Linked DNA regions of Nothobranchius furzeri. The protein of the gene in region 1 interacts with the protein of each later gene in a biochemical or structural test. Links are inferred from orthologs where the notes say so. Each region holds a gene or a part of one and is shown on either strand. Other genes may lie near its edges. The genes, in order: esr1, flii, ubiquitin-protein ligase E3A, sp1, nrip1b, histone deacetylase 4 and prohibitin-2.

Region 1 (4,173 bases):
TCTCAGTGCCAGTGATAGGAATGCATCAAAACGAGAAAACCTCGGCTTAAATCAAGCGAACTAGCGCTGCATTATGACCAGTTCCTCTGTTTACGGGATGGTAAAGTGTTATGGGGGGCAGTGCAACAATAACGGCGACAACATTCGTCCTGTTTGGTGTGAAAGTGGAACCAGACCTCTTTTACTTCATAGATAAAACTGGAAGCTTATGTGCACACAGTTCTGTCAACTCAATGAAACCTGTCCTTTTTAAATTGGTGGTGATTACTGGGTTTTTGGGTGCATGGAGCAAATTGTGTTGTTTGCAAAACTAAATAAATAACTGCAGTGAATGGACCTTATCCCACATTGTCATGCTTTTTACAGAAGACGGATGGGAACCATGAATACTGGATTTGTCAAATCCAGTTTTTGAAAACTGGATCAAGATTTTTGCCAACACTTGATTGTTTTGATGAAGATCAGGAACAGGCTCCATCTAGGAGCTGAAATTTGCACCAAAAAGTCACAAAATGCTGCAACGTTCTGGATGAGCTACAAAAAAAATTCAGGCTTTGTCATGGTGGTCCTTCAGGAAAATGGAGTCATTTACTGCCGGAAGCTTCCTATCTTGTGCCATTTAGGCGATTTGCTGCAGCCGTTTCTCACCCTTGGCTTTTGCTGTTTCCCACCATCTTAATTTTATTTCAGGAGAAATGCAGAATGCTACGTAAATCATCAGAGCCACTTGTTTTCCACTTGACCTGACATCTCCTGAAGATGATGCTGTGAAGTCAAGAAAAGGTGAAGATGAAAGAAAGCTCCGTGCCCCAGTTATTTTGGTCTTTTCCAGTGGTTGCTGCAACTCGTCTGCTTTTGTAGCATCTATGCTCGCTTTATCTTGTTCCCTAAACTTAAAAGAACATTATTTCTAATTTGACGGCTGAGCCTATTTGGGATTTGATTAAAGTATCTAAACTTTTTCTGAGTATTTGCTGCCTTGATGTCTTTTCCCCAACATCCCAGGACATCAAAGGTCCCTGATGGTCCCAAACCTGAAACTTTTGCACTGCACAAACAAAAACTGTCCCCTCGCATCTTTGCACAAATCCTTTTTAATCTGCTGCTGATGATTCATTATGACGCAACACCAACCTGTAGAACCAGAAAAATCCTTCCATTTCCTGCAGTTTCATTCTAAACTTCACAGAAAGATCACTTAGATTGTGCATCTATTGTAAAAAACATCCATCTACACCCTTATTTGGACTTGGTTGCATAATTATTGTCCGTCAGAATGAGATTTGACCTCCCGCTTTGTTTGCTGTGTTATGGTGACCTGGCTCCTAAACGCACCATGGCTATTGATTTGGCTGCATCTTTAATTTGTTTATCCGTTTTTAAACCTTTCCACTGTTCCCAGCGAGTCCGACGAGCCCATCTAGATGCCTGTGAGGCAGGCAGAGAGGAAGGGAGAAGGAAATCAGCCGCCGTTGCGCAGCATATCTGAGGATGATTCATGTGTGAGAGGTGAGTGGAGTCTCATGCAGGATTTTTTTTATTGTTTTTTAGCTCGTGAGTTGTGAAGCTGTTTACTTTTATCCCGTTTTCACAGCGATCGGCTGCCGTGCATCAGGTGGATTTAGTCATTAGGCTGCAAATAGAGCGGGGATCTTTGCTGTGCGCTCAGGATCATCTAAATGAAGGAAGAATATTCAGAGATAGTCGTGCTGCTATAGAGTTTCCTCCTGTCTGGCATCCAGATGCAGCCGCTAAAAGCTATTTAATGCAAAGGTGAAGTGGAAATGGCCATGTGGAGGAGAGGAGACGGGGAAGTTATTTGGGAATCACTATTTCTGTCATTCCTTCTTGTCTTTTCCTCTCTCCCACCAGCTTTCCCTGACTCCCACACTTTAAAGGAAAAGAGGGAAACACTACACTCAGGAAAAAAATAACGAAGTGGATTGGGAGGAGTCTTTTTTTTAGAGCCTGTTGAGCAGAACCTGAAGGCAGACAGAGCAAAAGAGGACTCAGAGGTCTCTCCAAGTTGCTTGACAGGAGTTCTAGGAGAGACGAGATCCAGAGAGAGAAAGAAGAGAGGAAGGAGAGGGTGAGCAGTACTCCTCTCTCCCACCCAACAAATGGGAGAGCGGGTCTAAATCATGTTGCTTATCAGTGCTGTTGTGCTGTGATGTTCAGGCAGAGCCCGCTGCAGAGCAGGAAGCAGTTTGGACCAGCGCTCCGAACCAGGATCAGCCCAGCCTCCTCAGAGCTGGAGACCCTCTCCCCACCTCGGCTCTCACCCTCGCCCCGTGCCCTCCTCAGCGACATGTACCCTGAAGAGAGCCGAGGCTCTGGAGGGGTCGCCGCTGTGGACTTCCTAGAGGGGACGTACGACTACGCCGCCCCCACCCCTGCCCCAACTCCTCTTTACAGCAGCTCCACCACAGGGTACTACTCTGCTCCTCTGGACGCCCATGGACCTCCGTCTGATGGCAGCCTGCAGTCTCTGGGGAGTGGGCCAACCAGTCCTCTGGTGTTTGTGCCCACCAGTCCAAGACTCAGCCCCTTTATGCACCCTCCCGGTCACCACTATCTGGAAGCTGCTTCAACTCCCATCTACAGGTATGAGATTTGAATTTAAACGAGCGTGCACCACTCGTTAATCACTGATGGTGAGCACAGGCTGGAGCAGGACTTGATAGAACTGCTAAGATCAAGTCAATCTAAAATGTCAGATGAGTTTAGTCAATTATTAATAAAGACTTTAGGAGGCCATTTCATAAAAAATATATTTAAAAAATACTTATTTGGGTGTATTTCCCCAATTTTTTTCATGGTTTCATTTTGATGCAAATTACTGCTGCATAATTATACACTTTATTTCTAATTTACCACAAAAAAATCACAAGAAAGTTAAATGAAAAACTGCTTTTAGACATTTTGTTTTACAGGTGAAACTCAAAAAATTAGAATATCGTGCTCAAGCCCATTTATTTCTGTGATCCATCTTAGACTGAGAGACCATCTAAAGGCCCAGGAACCCTGTGCAGATGTTTATGATTCATTAGCTGATTAGAGTGTGACACTTTGAGCTTAGAATATGGAACATTTTCACAATATTCCGATTGTCTTGAGATTTTGAATTCGGGGCTTTTTATAAGCTGTACACCACAATCATCCCAATTATAACAAAGAAAGGCTTAAAATATCTGGCTTTGCATAGAATGAGTCCATCTCATTTATTAGTTTCACCTTTTAAGTCAAGTTACTGAAATAAATAAACTTTTGCTTGATATTCTAATTTTCAGAGTTTCACCTGTATTTTTAGTCTAAGAAAAAAAACATTCTTATGTAATGAGGTAAATATTCTTTGATTTATTCACTAGTTAATATAATGATAAATTCATATTTTTTGCACTCAAAATAAGAAAACTTGGTCATATTTAAGAATATTAAACTTTTTTCAATTAGTTTTGTTTTTGCAGATAACGTTTTTTTACATAAATAAGAAAAAATGTTCAAAATCAAGACTTTTTTTTAGCTTTTTTGAAAATCACTTTTTGCAGTGTATAGCATTGGCGGTTTGGTTGAGTCGTTAAAACGCCTTAAAACAAAACATAATTAAATAATCGCAGAGCTTTTTATCTCTAGCTTCAAACAAAACAGCACTATTATCTCTCTGTAAAGGATCAAGCGCTGTCCGGGTTTCTAATTCCAGAGATTAAGGACTTGGTAAAGGACCTTGAGAGAGGAACAATACGTAAGAACAACACAAGTGCACATGCAGTCTCAGGTGGAAAACACGAGGCCTCTGTCATTTTTAAAGTCACTATGCAAAGGTTCACCTCTCATCTGGAATGGATTTAATGGCTCTAAACACTTTTAAAAATGACAAAACTGGTATTTGTTCTGCATAATCGTCTAAACATTGCTTTTTATCCTCATATGCTAATAAAAAACTGTTATTTATAGTGTTTTATGAGTACCGCAGTTTAATCAACAAATTAAAATTCATGACTCGTTGCAGATCCAGTCACCAGCCAGCCTCCAGAGAGGACCAGTGTGACGCCCGTGACGAGGCATTCAGTGTGGGGGAGTTAGGAGCCGGAGCTGGGGGGTTTGAGATGGCCAAAGAGACACGTTTCTGTGCCGTGTGCAGCGACTACGCCTCTGGGTACCACTATGGGGTGT
Region 2 (4,074 bases), on another chromosome or scaffold:
AGCTGAGAAGTTTGTTCTCTCGGTGCTGGGGCTCGTTCAGACGCCCACACAGTAAAAAAATGTAAATGACGACTTTAGTCGTCACTGGTAGTGAATGAGTCAATAACTAATTTTTGTGTATTTTTATAAATTGCAGGAATGACTGAGTATTCAAACTGGAATTTGAAGGGTTAAAATCCTCAAAAGGACAAAGTTTTTGTGGATTTGAGCAGGGCTCAAGTTGTTTAACAAGTCTATGAAAAAAAGCCTAAAATATATGAATGTAAACATTTTTTATAGCCTTTTTTATGAGCAGACCGTTTTGTCCTCAAATGTCACAACAGGATAGTGTTTTTATTTTTTCATAGTGTTCCCTTAGTCTTTTTTCAAAAATCCAAATTGAATTTCAAAATTTGTCAAGAGAGAGGTTTAGCGACAAAATTTTACACCACATGCACAAACACTGCAAAAAAAAAAAAAAAAGTCGTCCAAACTAAAAGGGAAAAATGCCCAAATGGACAAAAATGTCTCCAACGACACCTGAGGGTTAAATACGCAGGTTCTGTTTTTATGTATAAGAAATGGTTAATCTGGTAATTTTGATTATTTAGTCTGAAATAGAAGTTGAAAACAATTTTTATCAAAAAAAATTCAAATATATAAAATTTGTCTGCATTTTTGTAATACTTAATAATTATCCAGCATACTAGGGTTGCACAATACATCGCATATGTAGCATCATCGCAGTATCAGCATGTGCAATACGCAAATCACAAAGAACAGAAAATAAATTAGGTCAGCTCAAATGTTTGATACACAAAACGCAATTTGTCAAACAGAAGCATGACATTTTTGTCTAATCAGTTAGAGCCCTTCACCAGTTTGGCCAGTCAGGTGGGTTCTTATGGGTTAGACCTCAAGGTGGATGGATGGCTAGCAAACACTGGAGTTAGTTTAAGTGTCGCGGGTAAGATAAATAACCCACGTTTAAAACAGCACATCTCTTATGTCAAGACATTTTGGTTACGAGAGACACAACGTTCAACAAACACAAGTACTTTGCAAGACATGCCAAACACTTGTGGCATGCATGAGGGGAAATACGACAAACCACTGTTGTCATCAACCATAAATATCTATATACGGGGCTTCAGAAAGCTAGCGTTGGCAAGCCCAAAGTCTCTGATGTTAAGACAAGAGCACAACAGCCCACCAGATGCCAATCTGTCAGAGTTTTGTGGGTGGAACGCTCTATGAGAAACCATCAAAGTGGCACAAGGAAATAACGGAGGCCCTTGCACATTATTTGGCTATGGCTTTGATGCCAATGAGTACAATGAGCCGAGAGCCACAAACGGAACAACTGGGTCAAGGGGTCCAGTGCAGTGGGTAAGTGCATTAATGGCTGCGGGAGCAAACATATCCGTTTAGCTCTGAAAATGTTCAACAGTGTTGTCCTATATGTCCCATAGCTCCAACATATTTAAAGTTTTTACAATTTTTTTTAAACAGATCAGCTAATTTTGTAATGTCAACTTTAATGATTTCATTTTGTTAGTGTTAATACTTAGGATAGACGATGGAGTGGCGTGTCTAAAGTGTTTATGATTCAAAACGAGCACTGCTTATTTAAGCATTTGTTTAATTATTGCAAGTCATTGCAATATTAATCACGGTAATCAAAGGTTTTCCTAATATCGTGCAGCTCTACAACACACACACACACACAGTCTGATAGATCCATTGTAAAACCTTATCTGACCCATGAGGCATAATTGCACTGTTTTCCTAGAAATAGCTTTAATTACTGATTATAATTATAGAAATAATGCGGCATTCACATGACGTCATACATCTATTTGATGACTGACACAAAAAGAGAAAACCAGACATTTAGAGCCAGACAGGTATTTTGTGGGTTTGGATTGAGACCCCAACTAACTGTATAATTGAGAAATGTTGTGACTGTAGCATTAAAGGCCTCTTGGCCAGGACTCCCTTGAAAACGAGGCTTTTAACCTTCCTGATGAAATAATAAATGAATATCCTTAAATTACTTATTTTTTACCTTTAATAATATGTAAAAATGCATTGACCGATTATTATTGGTCAAGCAGAAACTAATCTGAACCCACTGACATGATTAAATCCTTTAAGGGCCGGTTTTAAATTTAAATACTTACATATTTGGATTTTACACTGGTCTGCTTGCTGGTCATCTATTTGTTACTTGACGTTTAACAACTATAGTTTAATAAGTCTCCTATCAACTCGGGCATCTAAAATTCATCCACAGCTTTTATCCCACTTAAGGTGAAAATGTTAACATCATACGCTTCTGACCCAAACAAATAAAAGTTAGCCTTCGACGTTTAGCCAAATTAGCTGGGTGACGTGACGTTAGACGTAGCTAGTAGTTTGCCTCTAAACAAATAAAAACGTTCACAGAGTCAAACTAAAAGGGCAGCCCTTTCTCTAACAAAGATCTACCAGATTTAGACGAGAAGGAACAACAACTTCGTCAGTTTGACAACTGGCTAACGCCCATTGCTCCTGAGCTATGTTGGTCAGTCATTTTCTGATGAGTCTCATTCCCGCAATAGCTTCAGCTAAGCTAAAGACGTAAACTGATCTAAAAGTGAAAAACGGTGCTCTTAATCCTTACTTTAAAGTCGTTTCCACTGAGGTCGACCCCCCGAATGAAGGGAAGAACTCCGGTGGCAGCCATTTTTGACGAACTGATGTCAGTTTTTCTGTCTATTTTGGTCCTAACAGAGGTAGGGAGTGGATCCTTCTTCTTCCTTTTATTACAACCATGCCACACTCATGAGCAGTTTACCGCCATCTGCTGGCTATGTGCTGTATTGCGTCTGTGTGGGGATTAAAACCTTGCGTAAGAGCGCCCTCAAGCAGTCATATGTAAATACAACACTAAAATGAACACATTAACCGGTAGAACAAAACAGCACAGCAAGAAAGCAAAAATAAATAAATAAATAAAATAAACCCACAAACTAAATAATAAACATTATCTGCATTTGATTTGAATCATTCAATTATTTTTATTATTATTTTTTTTCAATCTTTTATTTTCATTTATTGACATAAAAATAAAAATACAGAACTAAATTGCTGCAAGCCACAATGAAAAAGGGGACAGAAAGAAGAAAAACTTATGTTGTCTGCCCCTTTTAACTAAAATAACATTAATACAAATGAAATAATCATATGATTCTTAAAGAAATTGAACAATATAGTTCTTGGACTTGTTGGCCGACACAATCTCAACCCATGAATTGAGAAAAAAAAAGAAAACAATTTACACAGAAAGAAGCATTAAGTTATAGATCTATATACATACATATATATACACATACGACTACATACTAGTTGTTTTTTTCCCTTTCATCACCCCCTCCCCTCACACATTTATGTAACGGATCTATATAAGTTAATCATTTTATTTTTTATCTCTTTTATACATTTGTTTAAGGGATTGAAATACTTTTTTCACTCTCTTTGTTTATAGTGTCACAGTAATTCATTGGGAAATAAGGAAGTACAACAAAAGACAGTCAACATTCATTGGTATAATCCAGTAATGAAAAAGAATGGGAATTTTCTGCCTTCGCTGTCAAAAAACAGAACAACACTCTGGTTTCACTTTGAACATCTTCTATTCGTTAACTCTATGTGTTTTGTCATATTGTGTTCCTTGGTTAATGTAAAACAGGAAAAAAAGGTTATTCTTTATCTTTTGCTAATTTCACACGTTCCTCAGAACCTCAGAGCTGTGTACTCTGAGTGCTCACGTTTTTGTGCGTCCTCAAAATTAACTTTCACGTGAATTTTCTTTACTTTGCTGGTTATTTATATCTTTATTATGCGTTACCCTAAAAGTTTGTAGGACTTCCTTCCAAAAGATTATCAAGAAGCTACCAAAGTGATTTTAAAAGCATGTTTTATCTTCAAAGTAAAAGCCGTATCTTTAAAATGCAGAGGGGTTATACAGGGCTTCATCAAATGTAGTCTTAATTTGAAAATCCTCTAAACGGAAGTTCCGTACGTCCAACACCGTGGTGACATCACCCTTCT
Region 3 (2,991 bases), on another chromosome or scaffold:
TTCACCATTAGCATTGTTAGCGCATTGTTAGCCTCTAGCCTGCTTCTCCTGAAATTTGAGTAAAACAAAAAGATGCTGTGGCTTCTTAGGGGTACAAGAAATGACTTCTGGGTTGCTCCTGTTTACAGGCTACTGTCCTTTAAACAACTTTTTGCCTGTTGGTTTTGAATTACAAATGCCTGAGCTGCTGAGTTAGCTCACTGCAGATTCGGCAACCTCACAAACTCTGAGTGTAAACGGTGACTACGTCCCACTTTTCTTCTTTTCAAAAAGAGAAACATTGACAGACTCTAAGCTGTGTGAGAAGGACATCGGTTCCAGTTTCACCTTTCTTCCAACCTGACAGACATTAGACCTTTTTGGGATTATTTCTCACAAATTGCACCTTTATGTGGGATGAAACTCTTGCATGGTTACAACAAATAAAATCTGACCAGTGTGGCGTGCATTTGTATACACCCACCCATAAAAAGTTTGATTTTGGTCTGGTCCCACCAGAGTACCTTCTTCCTCATATCTGCTACATGACTAAGGTTGGGCATTGTTTGATTTTGAACGATTCCAATTCCTCAGTTTGATTCCGGTTCCTATCGATTCCCGATTCCGGTTCTTTCAAGACATGGCATGTTTTACATGAGCCAGCTAACCACAGGTCCTGCTTGATGAAATAATCTTAACTTCAACATTAATTTTAACTCTATGAACAACAACATCACCTTCATTTAGACAGAAACATGTTTTGGAGGAAAAAAGAAAGACTTGCAGCACAACCAGTGTGTTTGTTTCTGACCACAACCAAAGTCTGGAAGCAGCCTCTGGGATGAGAGGCTTAATGTCTCCAACATATCCAGAAACGTCCAGCTGTTTTCAGCTAAAACTCTCAGGAAGATCATGTCCAGGATGACTGAGAACTACACCTCCATGCAGCAGCAGCATTCAGTTAGAACAGAAAGTGAAACTTAATTGTAGCTGCTGTCAGTAACAATCTAACAGACACGAGTGTTGGTGAGCGGCTGCATCTGACTGCTGATGCTCCGTGTGTGTTTTTATTTCAGCAGTGAGACAAACTCACCTCACACCGTCCAGAGTTCTTTAAAGCTTCTGTTAAATCCACCGTGTTGACGTATTTTAACACGTTTCCTCTACGCTGCAGGAGTAAAGTTTACGTTACGGAGTAAAAGTTCGGCAGACGTGTTTGTTTATATCTGGGTGGGGGGAGGGGGGACTCGGTGCTGCACACAGACAGCTGGTGTGATCAGCTCTGAAAAGCGTTGATCACAATTTGCAGATCACGTTTATTTTTCATGATCGGCCGCGGATTCCTCTTCCAGTCGGCATTCTAGGAATCGAAATAAAAAACTTTGAACGATTCTGGGGAAAACTAACGGTTTCAACCGGTTCCAATCGATGCTCGATGCCCAACCCTAAATGACTCCTGGAAAACAAAAGCCCCTGATGACTCGTGTGTAACCTGAGTGGGAGTGAGTGGTGACCCCAGCTGTGTTGTGTGTTTTGTCTCCAGGTTACCCACGTCCCACACTTGCTTCAACGTGCTGCTGCTGCCTGAGTACAGCAGCAAGGACAAGCTGAGAGAGAGACTGCTGAAAGCCATCACCTATGCCAAAGGGTTTGGCATGCTCTGAGCCCCCCGCCCCCTCCTGCTACTAACAGACTCCTACTCAGAAAGCCCATGAAGCCCCGCCCTTGTTTTACCAGTCCAAACGGTGACTGATCACCCCCCACGCCGGGGGGTGTGTGTCCAGAAGGAAACATCAGTGAAAATGAGAGGACCCGTGGTTGTACGCCAGCGCACTATTACATCTGCTGCTGTGCCTGCATCATCCTACATCCGTCAGTGAGAGCACAGAGACCTCCTGAAGCACCCCCTCCTTTATGTTCCATGTACAGAGAGGATCATTTTCCTTATTATTTATTTGAAGGTTAAAATGGGTTCATCCATGCCTGTCTGTTGTGGTAGCTTCCCTACTCTGGGAAAGGGGGAGGGTTCCTATTAATCCATGTACATTTGGGACAGTGTCAAGTCAATAAAACCAGTTTATTGAACAAAACCTTGCTAAAGTAACCCTGATCTATCCAATCTTATGATCTAGTTTAGAGTAGCCTTTACTACAGATCCTGTACTCCCCTCTGAAGAGAGCCTTCACTCACCATTCCACCCACTCCTGTTGCTTTCTGTGTCCACAGACACAAAAATGATTAAGGTAAGCATCTGAGGGAGGACTGTCCTTTGGTCCAAAACGGCACATTATCGTAAATCTGTAGCTTATTTTTTAGTGCTTGGGCTTTTTTCGTTTGTATTCTGGGGGGACTCTGTTGGTTAGATTCGATCTTGTCAGAGCTGTGTAAAGTGCACTTAGACATTTTCAGAATGTTTGTTTCTTTGGCCACAGGTTGCCATTATTGTTTGGAGCATTTCATTTCCTTGTCTTCCTGTGTTGACAATTCCAAATAAAAACAAAACCAGTGTTTATATATGAGTGCAGCTGGAACTGCAGCAGTGGATGGTGCCTACGCACCTGCATTTATTTATAAAGCGCCATCTAGAGTCCCAGAACCCCCAAGGCACTTACAACACACACACTAGTGGTGGTGTAGCCGCAGCTGCCCAGGGGCACACATTCAGCTCCATCAGACCCTTCAACCATCACCAGCAGGTGAGGAGAGTGGAGTTTCTTTCCAACAGACCAGGGGTCTCATTTATCAAACATTGCGTAGAATCCTTACTAAAACCCTACTTAAGCTCAGAAACAAAATGTACTTACGCCAAGTAGGTTTGTGATCCAGTGGAGTACGCACAGCTGCACGCAATCTCCGCTTCATAAATCGGAGACTAACGAGAATGTTTCTCAGCTGCTTTTTAGTCACATCCCGCCCTCACCACGCCCACTTACTGCCATAAATAGTCAATGCAAATTGCCTTGTGGATCTCATGCATATACATAAGCCGGCTGTTGCAGCACTCCGCCAATG
Region 4 (4,278 bases), on another chromosome or scaffold:
CCACCCGTTTCTCCACTACCATTTGCATCCCCTCCAGTAGAACCTGTACTGACAGGCACCAAAGTGATGTTTCCATTCAAGGATACTGGCATGTTTGCCAGAAACTGGGGCTGATTTTGTAAAACACCATTGCCTAAGATGTTCTGAATGGGGATGGCTCCCTGAAGGACACTGGGCATGGTTATGATGTTTCCAGCTGCACCAGCTCTATTGGATGCAGCAATAATCTGCTGGCCATTTGGAGAGGACACTATCTGAAACTGTTGTCCTTGTCCTGCTGCAGCAGGTTCCTGTTGAGCATGTGCAAAGTGCAGCGGTTGGCCATCTACTGTCTGAAATTGGGGTATTACTTGGTACTGTATATTGGGCATCACACCTGATATGGTGGTTAGAACCTGCTGACCTGGCACAGATGGGGCCTGAGCTACTACATACTGCTGTGGCTGCTGACCCTGAGTACTTGATGGTGACAGCACCTGTCTGCTTTTGCCATTGTCTCCTGTCATCACCCCTGAGGAATCAGTGGTGATTGTGTTAGAGCCGGAGGATGCCTGAACGCTTAGAGGAACGACCTGCCAGCCGTTGGCACTGGAGGTGAAGACACCCGGGTTTATTTCCAGCTGTTGGTCTGCGGTAGAATCGTTTTCTCCGGGGGTGTCGATTCGACTGCACGTGGCTGCCAGCAAGGCCAAAGGAGACGGCTGCTGTGAGTCCTATAATCAGTATAAATGAAGATCAAACAGGAAAATGTAAACAGACAATAATAACAGAGCATGCTATCTTACATCTATAGAGACAATTGAGTGCCAGAAATTCTGATGTGAACATTTGTTGCTGCACAAGTTTTTAGCAGACTTTCCTGAACAAAATGGATGAATTTCATATTTCAAACCAATTTTGACAGTTACTGTGATACTCTTTAGCTTTTTCTACAATGTTTGGCCTTTGCTGGGATGGCTCCAGCATACACATCAGCCTTGCTTTCTAAACATGTTCTGCCAAGATCTCGTCGCTCAGCCGATCCCAGTCTCTTAGTAGTCTCGAGGATTTAGACTGGGGGGTGACCATGCCTTCTCTTGTTTTTTTTTCTATAGACTTTTGAACTCTGGAGATTAAACATGTTCCCTCCTTGTAATGCTTCAAAGCTGGATGGTTTTTGTATCACTTTTCATTTTCCGTCTGTTAGTGGCTTATTTTTGTAACTGTATATTATTACCGTTTAGTGTGCTTTAAATTTTAGGTTTCCTTTGTACTGGTTTTATGTTTGTATTTGATTTACTTACTTTTCCATTCTCTACTTTTACCTTTTTATGTGCGTCATGCAATTTTGTGTTTTGCCTTGATTGGCAGCATGAAGGTGCTTTATAAATGAATGAATAAAACTACTCATGTAAAATCACATCCCCCAAAGCCCCATGAACTCTTTTGTCCACGCATATTCAAACTGGAGAACAATAAAAGCAACCCTAATTATTATAAACAAGATGTTTACAGCAACACAAATAAAGTGGAACATAAATTATATCTTAAACCGTGCAAGGGGATCACATGTTCTAGCATATTGTATATTGGACCTGTTAAAAAATAGGAAGAAAGGCATGATGTTTCAAGTTAAAACAAATTAGGTTCCTTATTCTAAAAGAAATCTAGCTTGTTTAGTGAAAACCATAATATCACTGCGTTTAAGTCTAGCGAGTTTCATTGAAGCGCTTGTAGGGGAGTGGGCTTCACAGAGAAAACGCATTGGGTGAGGGGACATGGGAGGGAGGGACCACATTTTCCGGAGCAGCGGCGGGCTCGGCTTCCCCTCCCCCCAAGCCCACCCATCTCCCTCCCACACTTGATTTTCGCCCTATAAACTAGCACACTTCACTAGCCACCCCCTCCAAGGAGAGCCAAATGGGCCGAGCGAAACATACAAGAAGTGCCCGGGTTAGATGGGAACACCCCGTGTGGGCGAAATTTACCTGCCCAGTTCCCACCCCGATGACATGTGCTCTGGTGAGAAAATCAACAACCCGCTCAGGTCCAGACACACACGCACAGACGAACACAACAAATTCAACAAGTGGCACACACGATGAGAACGAAATGTCGCTAAGTGGTTAACTTACTTGTGAGTTTGTGTTTCGCTTCTGGCTGAATCCTCCGCCGCTCTCCACAGCGGCCATTTCACCCTGCTGCTGCTGATCTGCGGAAGAACACTTGTAAGACTTCTTGGAACATAATAGATCAGTTATACACGAAAACAAAAATCAAACAAAGAAAAACGACTACATGTTTCACAACAAGTCAACTTAAGAATGCTTTGTGGAAGATTCGGGTTGGAAAACATTTCAAGCCCTCACAAGGCCAGTTAGCTTGTGAGCTAACGTGAACTCAGCACAAGTAATAAACAATAAACTAGTTAAGCATTAATTAAGTGCACCAACGCAGTTTCCACCGTTCTGATAAAACATTACCGCTATTTTTTGTTTGAGGAATACCATAACCTACAATTCTAAAGAGGGGACAGCGTCGTTTTCTAAAGAACCACTAACAAGTAGCGTTAAGTAACAATAAACTAACGTCACTTTAAAACTGCTTCAGACTAGACAACAATGCAGCGCAAAATCCACCACTTAATACAAATAACACGATGTTGCTACGTCATACCCTTGAGTTATAAGTACGCACGTAGTATGCCTCCAAGTTTTAAAAGTCCACTTACTGCTCATAATTAGAAGACGGGAGGAGTTTCTGCTCTTTTTTCAGCTTGACAACTTTTCACAACTTCACACAAACTTAAGTTCCCCCTCCCTTTGAAGTAGGCGTATGAGTGCGTTCGATTTATGTAAACTAGATTCGAGATGGTGCAATGAACTTCTCAAACCTATTTCAAGTTAGACTACTTTTTAACTAGAGATTATAAAAATATAATTTGTGAAACTTAAGTGAGCCAGTAGATGACATTTTGAAAGAATGCTGGGTTTTCTTGGCGCTTAAATCAAAGTAAAACCGACTCCTGAACTTATCATAGACATGTACAAGTTACAAGGCAGAAATGAAACGGTAGAGTGAGTACCGCCACACATGCTGTAAATAATTCAATTCAAACCGATTTAAACTCGGAATATTTAAGATTTTTTTTTTCTTTTTCGTTTGGTAGTACGCGTACCGTACTGTGCCGAAAAAAAAACAAGCGCTCCTCAATCAGCAATACGGGTGATGGAATAATCCATTGTCCAATAGAATTGTTTGTCTCGCCTAAAGAGCACCAGTTGACTAATCTAATTTCACCATAGTTGGAGGGGTGGGCGGGATTAAGCACGGTAGGTTGTGCTCTTGAGCATGATTGACGTCGGGTTATTTGTTTTCCGCTAAAACGACGTCACTATAGTTTAGTCCACGTAAATACTGATAATTCGCTTAGCCCCGTCTTGAAGTGGAGTCAAATTTCAACAGTGAAACAACGCCAAACGTTGTTAATGTCTCTGGCCACAGAGGTGGGAAGTAAGGAGGGCTGAACGAGTGCTTGAGTCTTGCCTCCGTGGCCGTTGGCCACTCCCTTGTGGCTTTGTGAGTCGGTAAACAGTAATGTGGCGGGAGGAGTCAGAAAGGGTGGAGAAGAACCCTCATAACACTCACCACACTGGCTACTATGCTGGGCTGGGAGTGGAAGATGGTTGGACTGGGAGGGCTTTTATCTCTGCTAGGGGCTGTCATTGAAATAGCACATGTGTCCATGTATAAACATGTCAGAGGGTGGAGTCCATACATCCATACCACCCTGGCCTGTCTGTTTACACACACACACACACACACACACACACACACACACAATTGAATTTGATTGATTTAGTCAGGTTCAATATTGTGTTCAAATTGCTATGTTTAATCCTGTTATGTAGAACAATTAAGTGCCTTCTGGTTTCTATGCTTATCACAGGATTTATCTATGTTATCACTTCACAAGTACTCTAAAGAAATGCTGTTGGGTAAAAAGTTAGCACAAAAAATGTGCTAAAATCAGGAAATATCAAATAAACAGGATATAACCGGGGCAGTGCTAGTGGAAGGTGTCCAAGGTGTGCCAGTGCCACCCTGACAGCAATCATGGACCTCGTGCCGCAGAGCCTTAACATTAAGTTCTGCTTATTTGAACAAAAGCATGTCAAAGCATTTATCTGGTATAGTAGATGCTTATACAAATATTTTCTTGTTGTTATACCAAAATAATAACCCAGATAACACATTTTGTGCAAAAAAGTCATACTCTGAGACATATTGGAAAGGTGT
Region 5 (3,929 bases), on another chromosome or scaffold:
GCATTGATGTTACTAATTTTTTTAAATCACAGCTCATCAGATCTCCAGACTTGATCCTGTTCATTATGGCCCAGTAGTTGCTGCTTCAGAAACCTTGTGGTTTGATCAAGGGTAACTTTCCACACATAAGCGTGGCCCGGCTGCCCTGTCTTTAGCACAAAGAGCTTTGTGTCTTCAGCTGATCAGCCATTTAACGTTAAACGTGCTAATATAGGCTTCTGAGATGGAGCTCCTTGTGTCTGTGATGATTTTTCTCTTTGGCATTGTGTTAACACGCGCCTGAGCTAAGACCTTAATTATTAAAGACATTATGCAACAATTCAGATGTATTCACCTAATACTTTATACTTGTTTAATGCCCAGAGACTATTTCACGGTGTCCTCTGTGTTTTCAGACTGTATGTCCTCATACTTCTGCTCATTCGTGTATTTAAGCAAGCGTGCTTCTGTTGGTGGGTGGGTGGCTCTTACTGTAGCTAGATGAAGGGTTGTGTGGTTTTAGATGAAGCTCAATTGCAAACGGAGTCGGGGGGGGGGGGGGGGGGGGCTAATCCAGTGAAATGGCAAGCTGCATAAAGAATTATGCACAGCTCTCAGAAGGCCCTTCACTTTTGAAAGACACAGCCGTGAGAGGCTTACAGCTCAAGACCTGAATGTTTTCAAGGTAGTGAGCTTGAATTTTCAATTTGAATCCAATCAAGGCTCATCTACATGTGTTGTGTGTTGGGTGGCTGTGAGGGAAGAGTGCAGAGAGAAGGAGCCGTGTGCAGTCAATCTGAAATGTTGCTAAGTAACAGCGATGGCAGACAAGGTGGGGAAATGAATGTGATATAGTGCTCTGCAAATCCCTGCTTCTCACATGGTTTCCTATTTTTCCCCTTTTTCCTTCCCCCACCACCCCTCCCTGTTTTCTCTCTATCTCTCACTTTTATAGATCTCCCCCCTCAGCTGTGAGCTCTACAGAGACACCACTGACAGAACAACAGACAACCATGGAATGCGTCAACATCATGGTGGTGGATTCCTGCTGACTCCTCGCTTGCTACTGGCATCAACCTGAATCTTGGCCTTCTGGGGTCCTGCAGCGTTTATAGGCATACAGCAATGCCTTGGAGGGCCGCCTGCCCCAGATTGCTTCCAGGCATGGTTGCTTCTTCAGCACGTTGCTGCTTGTAGCCTCTTCAGAACGATCCAAGTCCAGCGAGCGCATCCTTCTGCTCTTCTCTGTTCTCACCTGGCGCCAAGACCGGCCCTCTTTCTGGTGACTAACCAGTGCATGACTGAACCAGATGACCCAGATCACATTTATTTTCCAGTAGCAGTGCTAAGCAATACGAGGGGATCTGAGTATTGAACATGACTCATGGGGAGGAGCCTGGCCCTGAGACACACAAGGATTCAGCTGTTCTAACTTATCTGGAAGGTTTACTGATGCATCCAGTGGTGGCCGGGCCTGGGGCCACAGCAGGCGGGAGGTCCGAGGCTGTCCACAGCAATCAGCAACAGGGCAACAAGGTGGGGGGGTCCTTCCCACTAACTCACCATGCTCCAATAGCGCCCAAGGCTGGAACTAATAGACCGACTCTGGGTTCCTCACAACACCTGAAGAAGGCTCGCCTGCTGCGCTCCGGAGCGTGGAATGATCCGGGGAACCAGCGGCTGAGTTCACCCCCCATGGACCTGAATGGCCAAGTGGGAGGCCTGCAAAACGGAACGCTGGAGGAATCCCCTAATGCTGGAGAGAGCACCCTGTTGGCATCTCTGCTTCAGTCATTCACATCACAGCTTCAGAATGTGGCATTGTCTCAGAACACTAGTAAACCCACCAGTGAGTGTCCATCTCCAGCCAAGGCTCCAGCTGCAGACAAAGAGCCCCTACCTGTTTATGGGACAGCCTCCAGCCGCTTGAAAGGCCTCATGCGGAAGAGCAAACTACAGAATCACAACAACACCCCTTACAGCCGCCGTGGACACAGCCAGGACCGGCCACCAGAGTCCCCTCGATCAGCACACAGCGCCACGCCTCCTGCTGCTCCTGCTGAGTCGGTGTCCTGTGCTGAGCGTTTGAAAGCAGTGGCTAACTTGGTGAAAATTCGTTCTAGCCCCGCCCCCTCACCAAAGCCCAGCGTGGCCTGCAGTCAGCTTGCTCTGCTGCTGTCCAGCGAAGCACATCTGCAGCAGTACTCCAGAGAGCATGCTCTCAAAGCCCAGCTCTCAGGGAGATCAGCCAGCGAGAGACTGGCTGCAATGGCCAGCCAGCAGCACGACACAGACAAAAGGCCTCCAAGTGTTGGGGGGTCTCCAGACACACTAAGCTCCTTAGCAACTCAGAATGGAATGACAACTACCACGATGATGGCAACACTCCCTCGGACGGCAGTGTCCAGTCCTCAGAGCCCATCCCTGCTGCGTGGCCACAGCCAAAGCTCCCCACCCGCTGCTCCCCACGCGCCGAGCCAGCCCCCCAGAGAGAAAAGAGGCTTTGATGCTCGTCCAGTCCGCCCACCGCAGACATGCAGCAGCTTGCTGCTGCTGCTGCTGAACAACCACAACAGTCAGAAGCAGCTGACCAAGAACGGACACCTGGAGGACATCGGTGGCCTTCTGCCTCCAAGCGGCTCCTCTTCTGTCACGTCGGACAGTGAATGCTCCACCCATGAGAGAAGCATGACCAAGGACAGCAGTGATGCTGAGAGCTCCTACTCCAGCTGTTCCCCAATTGACCTCTCCATGAGAGGTCGTGGCAGTGCTAGTGCACAAGACACTGGGCCCAAAAATGCTCCCTCTTCTTCCTCTTCCGTCACCTCTGTGCTCTCTTCCTGTACCATGGTGCTGTCTTCCACCCCAGCATCATCCTCTCCTCAAGCCAGTGCTCAGCCCTCCACTTCATCCTACTCACCTTCTTCTTTGACTGTCTCCTCTGTATCCACTGCTATTTCTTCATCCTCGTCCTCCTCCTTCCCTACCTCCTCCCTGGACAAGCTAACGGAGTCTTTAATAAACAAGTGGAAACCAGAGCCATCCAGATCAAACGTCTCCAACAACAAGGAGCCAGAAATGAGTCCGGACCTAAAATCCCACCCGAAGGTCACTCTCATGCAGCTGCTGCTCGAGCGCAGGAACTCTGAGATGGCTAGCAAAAGCAGCGGGACACAGGACTTGCCTCTTGACATAACTATGGCCACCATGTCTCAAAGTCAGCAGAAAAGACTGATGTCCTGGGAGGAGAGCAGAACCAGAAGCTCCATAGAAAAGTCAGCAGGTCCGCCCCAGTCCCTCTACTCTTTTAGTCAGGACCCGAGTGGTGCACTTTCCCCGTATTCTTACCCCTCCCCCCATGTTCAGTCCAGCCCACTAGATTTGTGTAAGTCTAAAGCCTTCCCAGCTGAGAGGTCCTCAGAGCCAGCCTTTAGTGCCAGTAAACTGTTGCAGAATCTGGCCCAGTGTGGCACCACCACCTCCTCCTCCTCCTCCTCCTCCACCCCGCCCATCCCCTCCAGCAAAGGCCTGGGCCAGGAGATCGACACCAGCAGGCCCCTGGCCTTGATGGAAAGACTTAATGCTCCAGTCCACCGGACCAGCACCACTCCACTGTCAGATGGAGCATCAGGCAGCGGCACACCTTTCATTCACAAGGAGCCGTCCACTCCCTCCTCACAGATCGAGAACCTCCTGGAGAGGCGCACTGTGCTGCAGCTTCTTTTAGGAACCGGGTCGGCCGGCAGTACCACCAGCCGCAAAGACAAGTCCAGTGGTGGTTACCGGAGGAGTACTGAGGCAGCTGGGGGGTGCTACGAGACCAGCCCTGCCACCACTGTCCTTTGTGACAGCTCTAACGAACCTATCTTAGATGTGAAGGTAAAGTCTGAGCTCACAGAGGAGGCGGGGCCACCTCCTGCCAGGTCTGAGGACTTTAGCAGCAAAAAGAG
Region 6 (4,036 bases), on another chromosome or scaffold:
TATGGAGATAAAACATCAACGTTGCTGTTAGCCAATTAGAGGAAAAATGTCCAAATATCAGGAAGTAATCATCCTAATCCTGCCTGTGAAGCTCCGCTCTGACGTGGCTCTCTTCTAGTTCCTGAAACGGGTGCGTTCATTCGTAATAGACACCGCTGCAGATACAGTTTACATGAGTAAACTACCACTTTACTTTGGGTGAATAATTTGTACCACATGAAAAGTACTTTTTCTTTCTTTTATTCAAGTATTGTATCATAGCGTATACAGATAACACCATACCTGTTTGGTATCGACTTTACCAGGTTTTAGTGCATCATACATCAGCTTCCTGCTGCCTGTGAGGAGACGGATGCACGCACAGAGACGAGTTTCATCAGGACCAAACCTGACCGCTGCAGCCATCCAGGCAGGGTGGTGTGAGACCAATATCCTCTAGCTTCCTAGATAATAAAAGTGTGTGTGTGTGTGTGTGTGTGTGTGTGTATTTGTGTGTGTTAGCGTGTGTGTGTGTGTGTGCGGATGTGTGTGTGTGTTAGCATATGTGTGTGCGTGTGTGAGCGTGTGTGCATGTGTGTGAGCATGTGTGTGTATGAGCGTGTGTGTGTGTGTGTGTGAGCGTGTGAGCGTGTGTGTGTGTTTGCATGTGCGTGTGTGTGTGCGTATGTGTGTGTTAGCATGTGTGTGTGCGTGCATGCATGTGGGTGCGTGTATACAGGTGTGCGAGCATGTGTGTGTGTGTGTGTGTGTGTGTGTGTGTGTGTGTGTGTGTGTGTGTGTGCGCGCGTGTGTGAGCGTGTGTGTGTGTGTGTGTTTGTGTATGCATGTGTGTGAGCGTGTGTGTGTGTGAGAGCGTGTGTGTGTGTGCACCAGTCTAGTCCACAGAGAATTCCAGAAATAGACCACGGATGGTGAGACTCTCGCCTGTTTTTCTCTTTTTTTCCCCTCTGAAGGGATTTCTCGTTATTTTTTAAATCTCAAACCCGTGTTTGTGCTGATGTCTGTACACTTTATGCTCAGAATGTAAATAGATAAATAGGTGTGTGTGTGAATACACGGACCAGGTGCTGTAGAACTATAAATGCTCACAGGATGCAGAGTGAGAGAGTTATTAGTAACAGATTTAGGAGGAGGAGATGGATGCATGTTGATTGTTTTTGTGCCCCCCCCCCCCCCCCCCCAGCTTTTTATAGCCATGTCTTCCCAGGGCTCAGCAGCTACAAAAGCCTTTTCATGTTGCCACTATAATTACAGCCTACACACACATGGACATGCATGCATACACACACACTCGCTGGAGCAGCGTCTTTGTGTTGGTGTGTGCGTGCTCTGCATGTGCAGTTATACACAAAAGGGTGAGCTATTTTTACCTCCCTCCCCTCCCCTCCTCTCCATCGCCTCCTCATCCCTCTCTCCGCCGCTGCTGCTAGCCACATTTGCTATGCTGAGCACAGGCGCTATCAGTCGAGCGCCAACATCTCTCCAACTCGCTCACAAGCGAACACACACACTCACTCTCACTCACACACACCAGCTGACGAGCGCTCCCTCTGAATCCCGGCTTATTCTTTAGCTCCGTCCGAGCATCCCTGCAGACGCGCCTCAGCGTTTGCTGCTCATGGATCAGGAAGCAGCTCAGGGGCTCGGAGGTGCACAGCGGCATGTGCTCTCCACCGTGCAGATGACCTGAAGCCCCTCTCTCTCTCTCTCCCTCTCTTTCTCTCCCACCTTCTCTCTTTCTCTCTCCGACTGGTTTTAACCGCCTGATTAGCAGGTTTGTGGCTGGAAGCCCGGCTCAATGCTGCGGACCATCTTTGAAGCAGAATGCTCTCTTTCTCCCACAGAGGGAATCCTGGGAAAGGAGCCGCCGCTGGAGGTCCTCAAGACGTCGGCGCTCAACCACATCCCAACAGGTTGGTCAATCTGTGTGTGTGTGTGTGTGTGTGTGTGTGTGTGTGTGTGTGTGTGTGAGTACGTGATGTTACTATCAACCACATCCTGTGTGACTTTGCTTTTTGGATGTGAGCGAGCCGGGGACACACCGTCTACTTGACCAGGAGACACCATGTTTACATCCCCAATGTTTTATTTAAGCCGCTCCGGTGCTGCCATTTTGCTGAATGAAAATCTGGAACTCCGAATGTTTGCGCGCACGCACGCACGCACACACACACACACACACACACACACACACAGACACACACACACACACACACACACACACACACACACACACACAGCTAAACAAACCCATTGTGCCTCTCAGTCAGTTCCTGAGTCCGTTTAATGTTCCCAAAACAATCTCTTGCAGCTCCCAGTGCTATAAGTTCCCATTCCCAAGTATTCCTGAATGCAGATCCATGTTGTCCGGTAGAAATTGTACAGGAAAAGTGAGGATGAGGAGAGTGGAGCAAAACCAGAGGGGCACAGATAAGGAAGGATAAATTGGTGTTGGGATAGTGCATCCCATAATTCTGTAATAAGGAAGCTTAAACTGCTCCCAGCTTTTGGTTTTTTGCCTCCCAGGATGGTTGGGTGAGTCTAATTCCTAATTCTGACTCCCAGACAGCAGCCAACGCTCCAGCACGCTGCCGTTTCTGCTCCTAGGTTATTTTTGTTTTCACTTCCTGCTCCTGCCTCCGGCTCAGCTGATAAAATATTGAAATCCACCAGAGCATCTTCATCTGATATTCTCAGAATCTGTTGTCTTGGCTACGAAGCTGCTGGGTGGCATGTGACCCGGACCGCTTCTCCTGCACGGAGAGGAGGGTGAAGCCATCTGGGAGTCTTTAAAACGCCCTGCAGGTGAGGATCACACCTGCAGAGGCCTCCTGAACTTTAGCTCTGTGTGTGTGTGTGTGTGTGTGTGTGTGTGTGTGTGTGTGTGTGTGTGTGTGTGTGTGTGTGTGTGTGCGCACTCCCAGCACGGATCCTTTGCGTAACGCCGTTGTGTGATGTCATTAGAAGGGCGACCACCCCCCCGCCCACTGCAGCTAAAACCTGATTCTACCTGGACAACAGATGAAGTGACTGTTGGCTGCAGGACTTTTCAGAATGAGCCCTCATCTGTGCCACATCCATTAGGGCCTAAGGGGCGGGGCTTAGGCAGTCGGACCGTGGGACCCGGGCTCCACGAACCGGGCCTCCAGTCAGAACCGCCAGCCCTCGACATTGTCTGGTATAAATAGATTCACAGCAGGAGCCAGAAGAGTTGTGGAGAGCGCCGGAGGGGTCGTAAACAGATTGTGATTAGTTTGTGGAGTGTGTGTGTGTGTGTGTGTGTGCGTGCGTGTGTGTGTGAGTGTGTGTGTGTGTGTGAGTGTGTGTGTGTGTGTGTGTGTGTGTGTGTGAGTGTGTGTGTGTGCGTGCGTGCGTGTGTAGGGGGGGGGGGTATGAAGGAGTGCAGGGGTGTGCAGAGGAACCCGCTGACAGGAAAGGTCGCTGAGTTAAAGCAAACGAAAAAGCTGTCAGAATTCCCTCTGAAGGAGATTCCTTTGAATCCCGATGCCTTTTAGAGATTCCCTCTGATCCACAAACGCTCCGATCAGACTCGCAGGAGAAAAAGAAAGTGAAGCGTGTGGATTCTCTTCCCTCTGAGTCTGAGCTAAATCAGGCTGCAGATCAAAGAGGATCTTTTTTTAGACCCCCCCACCCCCCACCCCCCCACACACACCTGTCATACAGGTAAGTCTGCCCGTTGTGTAATGTCTCTGGAGCCCCCGCCCCCCGTTTGGGTCGGATGGCGGCTGCCCTCATGTCGTCCTTATCTCACACACATCAGTAAACTCCAGCTCTGGCTTGACGTCAGTGCTCTGAGACAAAGAGGTGTTCAAATCAGAGTCTATCTGTTTATCAGCGAGGCTTCTGATTGGCTGGGACGTCTGCTGTGGTAACAAAGTTCAGGATGTCTTCAAAAGCAGAAACATCTTCTGATTGGTTCTCATTAGGGACTTTAAGACTGAACCCTCAGGCTCATCCAGACCGATGCAAGGAGCCCTTCGAGACAGAAAAGAGACATTATGAGAGCAAAGGAACC
Region 7 (3,500 bases), on another chromosome or scaffold:
AACAGAACAACATATCTTCTTACGTTCGTAATCCTGTTTGTCTCATGCTTCAGCAGTGTGTTGTAGTCAGTGTTATTAACTGAAAAATATTAAATAATTACTTGTCTTCACAATCACATTTTCTTTATTATTGGTCTCTCCATTTGTGCTTCCATTTATGGTGCATGTTCGTGTTGATACAGCAACCAGCAACGTATTGTACAAAAAATCCCAAATAAAACTAATAATGTAAAAAGTTTATAAACTATTTCAAACTGTGGGGAATATTTTTAAAACGTAGAATCAAACAAGCTGAAATAAACCCGTCTACAGCTCGTCCTACTCACAACCAACAAGCTGCACACAGTTAGCTCATTAAAGGTTATCTAGCTAAAACTGGCAACATAAAATACCATCGTTGGCTTATTTTGGTACGAAGCGGTTAGCTAACGCTTCACAATGCAACAAAATGATGACATTTCATCAACTTACCAGAGAGAATCCTTCCGAAACACCGAAAATGAACAGTAGTCAATGCAGCAGCGGGGGCTGTTTGGAACTATTCGAAGCTACATGAACCACGTGACTCCCGCATTCCGTGACGTAACTCTCTCTACAGCTCTGACAAAACCCTGCCCTCCTCTCCCAATGATTGGACAGGAATTTGAGAAACGTGATTGGTAGCTAAGACTCGTGCTCTCATTGGTTCCACCCAAGTTCCTCCCACTGACGCTAGAATCGAGACAAAAAGATCCGTAACACTGTAGATTTGAGGTTTGTACCTGTAGAATGAAATGCGTGTTTTGAGAGTTTTGATTTCAAACTTGTACCTTGATTTTTTCAATTTGGAAGTCTGCTAGTTACAAAACGAAAGTTTCATGTTTCTGAATGAATGTTTGATGTTACTGAATGAGTAGTAAATGTTCAAAATAAAAGTTTGATTTTACAAAATAAAAAATACATGTACAAAATGAAAATTTCCTGTTACAAAACAAGAAATACAAGTACAAATTGAGAATTACAAGTTAGAAAACTAAAGTTACAAGTTACGAATCCAAAGTTACATGTGATGAAACATGTTCGGAGTTACAAAACTTGGTACAAGTTACGCTGAATATTGTCTCAAACCTAGCTCCATAGGTTTCCCCCAGAAAATGAGTTAAGCCTGGCAAATTCCTGCAGCGCTCCTCTGTGAGAGCGGGGGTGGGTGGTTGCACACATTCCGCTGCTGTTTCTCACCAGTATCAGCTGATGGAGGGCTCTAGTTTCGTTGCGCCGTCCGTGTCAGCGGACTCGGTAGGATCAGGGAGGGGGGGCGGGGCATGACCATCGACATATAAATATTGGACAATGGGTTTCCATAGGCTCCAATAACACATTTTTGAAGATAAATGGGAGGTGGCCACCACCGCCATTTTGACCGTGTCACAGGTTCCATCAAGCCCAGACAATTCCGCAAAAGGGAAGAGAGGAGGAGCTGAGGGTGGGGCTATAAGGCTGGGATCAACTGACGACACCCGGTCGAACTAGCTACAAGCTAAACTGAAGCTAACCCAAAGCTAATGCAGAGGTGGGAGCAAAGCTAACGGAGGTAGCAACCTAGCTACAACCGGAGTTAACTGTGCACAACACCAGAGCTTCTGAGTCAGATACGCCGGGCTGACCGCAGGGTAAAACCGGGTGGAACACAGAGGTCTCCCGAGAGCTCCACAAGCCGGCAGCCGCACAGCAGACAAGCGCCGCTGCGATCTGAGATGCGCAGAGCTGCCGCTGGGGAGAACCGGGTGGAAAATGTCGGTCTCCTGAGAGCTCCACAAGCCGATAGTCGGAACCCAGCTCCACCAACATGTTATATTTCAACCCATTTTCTAAAGTGCAGCATTGTGTTAAATGCACTGGGGTTTACCCTATTACATTTAAATTTCATGGTTTAACAGTACAAGTTAAAATCTAAGGCTTGGCAGTGACCTAAAATACATAAATATAATTTTACTTACCGAAAAATATGAAGTGGAGGCTCCTTGGATGCTCTATTAGTGCAATTAATACCACGGCAAGTCATTTTGTCCAACAATTGCACAAAAAATATCCAAAAAAGAATACACAAACACAGAGGCTCAAAATCCCGGAACAGTTTCCAAGCCAGGCCGAGGCTCTACTGAGGCCTTTCCACGGAGCTAGCTCTGTGGTCACGTGGGTCTGATGCTCATTAATTATACAGAATTTTAGGCTTTTAATACACTTAAACAGAAGAGTGAGAAAAAATTCACCCCCCTCAGAGTTGTCATGAGTGTAAACTAGATAATTTAAACCTAAAACATGTTTTGGTACCAGGCTGTAAACATGTTTATTTCTGCTGTGAAATTGGTATTTTTAACATGGGAGTCAATGAGGATTTGCTCGCTTCTGACACCAGCCCCCAGCGAATGAGGGTGGAACTGCAATTTTTGGTACTTCCGGGTTGGGCTCAATTTTTGAGCCGCATTGTGGGGGCTTGGGCATGACGCGTAGCCTGGCGGGTGGTCAAGCAAAGCCTGGCGGGCCGCCAGGCTTATAAAGCGCTGGGGGAAACCCTGAGAAATGAACCACTGGGTTCAAACTAAATAACAAACCAAGGCAAACATTTAGTCTGGTGTCATTTCTTACACCCTTCAGCATAAATGTGTGACTCTAAAGCTGCTCACAGAAATTAAAAGCTCATTTATGAACCTATTATGGATTTTAGAACTTAATTAAAGGCCAGAATTGGACGTGGCCTCTGGGTTTTCTGGGTTTTTAGGATTTTGTGAGCATTTGCAAAGCTTTTCTCAGACTGAGATGTGACTGTTGAATGAGGAAACAGATTTCTTTAGTTAATCTTTTTAAATGTTTAAATTGTTTTGCACTTTCACATTGTCCTAATTGTTGTGTCAAAGCAACAATCTGACATCTATTCATGGATGAAAACAAATCCAGATGAAATAATCCAGATGCATTCTTGGTATCGGGAGACAGTGAAGATCCTCACCTGTAGCCAGCTGGAATCAGAACATTGGTGATGTTAACCATGTGTTTGTCATCTTCTGGTTCCTCGTGGATGACAAATGAAATGAAACTGAATATTTGATCATATTTTTTTATTTCTGTTGGTGGTCCTTTTGGACAAGCGGTCCCATAACTAACCAGCTAACCTGATCCACCTGCTCAGAGCAGCTGGTGTTAGTTCTGGTCTCGGCCCGGCTGACGGCGTCCTCTCTGCAGGTGTCCCTGCTGATCCGTAGGGAGCTGTTCGAGCGAGCAAAAGACTTCAACATCATCCTGGATGACGTTGCCATCACCGAGCTCAGCTTCAGCCGAGAGTACACGGCCGCCGTGGAGGCCAAACAAGTCGGTGAGTAAACAGGAAGTGACCTCCAGCTGATATTCTATGTGACTAATACTGATTTATTCTAAAGAAGAAAAACTTCTTATGTGTCCTTTTTCAACCCAAAATCTCATCGAGAGCTTTGCAGATGATTTGTTGAGCTGTTTCTGTGCGTCTG

The links.
Region 2: the proteins of esr1 (region 1) and flii form a complex in vitro, tested with the Homo sapiens proteins (2 studies listed by BioGRID). The link is inferred for Nothobranchius furzeri from reciprocal best matches to the Homo sapiens genes ESR1 and FLII.
Region 3: the proteins of esr1 (region 1) and ubiquitin-protein ligase E3A form a complex in vitro, tested with the Homo sapiens proteins (2 studies listed by BioGRID, with this or other methods). The link is inferred for Nothobranchius furzeri from reciprocal best matches to the Homo sapiens genes ESR1 and UBE3A.
Region 4: the proteins of esr1 (region 1) and sp1 form a complex in vitro, tested with the Homo sapiens proteins (6 studies listed by BioGRID and IntAct). The link is inferred for Nothobranchius furzeri from reciprocal best matches to the Homo sapiens genes ESR1 and SP1.
Region 5: the proteins of esr1 (region 1) and nrip1b form a complex in vitro, tested with the Homo sapiens proteins (4 studies listed by BioGRID, with this or other methods). The link is inferred for Nothobranchius furzeri from reciprocal best matches to the Homo sapiens genes ESR1 and NRIP1.
Region 6: the proteins of esr1 (region 1) and histone deacetylase 4 form a complex in vitro, tested with the Homo sapiens proteins (2 studies listed by BioGRID). The link is inferred for Nothobranchius furzeri from reciprocal best matches to the Homo sapiens genes ESR1 and HDAC4.
Region 7: the proteins of esr1 (region 1) and prohibitin-2 form a complex in vitro, tested with the Homo sapiens proteins (3 studies listed by BioGRID). The link is inferred for Nothobranchius furzeri from reciprocal best matches to the Homo sapiens genes ESR1 and PHB2.

What each region holds. Positions count from the first base shown.
Region 1 is NC_091742.1:2,865,243-2,869,415, reverse strand, and holds the start of esr1 (estrogen receptor), read left to right. Parts: upstream 1-1,373; 5' UTR 1,374-1,498; coding exon 1,499-1,509; intron 1,510-1,938; exon of another isoform or gene 1,939-2,089; intron 2,090-2,178; coding exon 2,179-2,604; intron 2,605-4,009; coding exon 4,010-4,173.
Region 2 is NC_091752.1:64,032,441-64,036,514, forward strand, and holds the start of flii (protein flightless-1 homolog), read right to left. Parts: upstream 2,801-4,074; 5' UTR 2,708-2,800; coding exon 2,645-2,707; intron 1-2,644. UniProt on the Homo sapiens protein: Is a regulator of actin polymerization, required for proper myofibril organization and regulation of the length of sarcomeric thin filaments. It also plays a role in the assembly of cardiomyocyte cell adhesion complexes.
Region 3 is NC_091743.1:81,627,780-81,630,770, forward strand, and holds the end of ubiquitin-protein ligase E3A, read left to right. Parts: intron 1-1,522; coding exon 1,523-1,643; 3' UTR 1,644-2,491; downstream 2,492-2,991. UniProt on the Homo sapiens protein: E3 ubiquitin-protein ligase which accepts ubiquitin from an E2 ubiquitin-conjugating enzyme in the form of a thioester and transfers it to its substrates.
Region 4 is NC_091743.1:62,035,352-62,039,629, reverse strand, and holds the start of sp1 (transcription factor Sp1), read right to left. Parts: upstream 2,801-4,278; 5' UTR 2,718-2,800; coding exon 2,711-2,717; exon of another isoform or gene 2,656-2,710; intron 2,192-2,655; coding exon 2,115-2,191; intron 714-2,114; coding exon 1-713. UniProt on the Homo sapiens protein: Transcription factor that can activate or repress transcription in response to physiological and pathological stimuli.
Region 5 is NC_091750.1:42,800,869-42,804,797, reverse strand, and holds the start of nrip1b (nuclear receptor-interacting protein 1), read left to right. Parts: upstream 1-1,129; 5' UTR 1,130-1,356; coding exon 1,357-3,929. UniProt on the Homo sapiens protein: Modulates transcriptional activation by steroid receptors such as NR3C1, NR3C2 and ESR1. Also modulates transcriptional repression by nuclear hormone receptors.
Region 6 is NC_091754.1:47,244,973-47,249,008, reverse strand, and holds the start of histone deacetylase 4, read left to right. Parts: upstream 1-1,236; 5' UTR 1,237-1,798; coding exon 1,799-1,913; intron 1,914-4,036. UniProt on the Homo sapiens protein: Responsible for the deacetylation of lysine residues on the N-terminal part of the core histones (H2A, H2B, H3 and H4).
Region 7 is NC_091751.1:35,022,832-35,026,331, reverse strand, and holds part of prohibitin-2, read left to right. Parts: intron 1-3,219; coding exon 3,220-3,349; intron 3,350-3,500.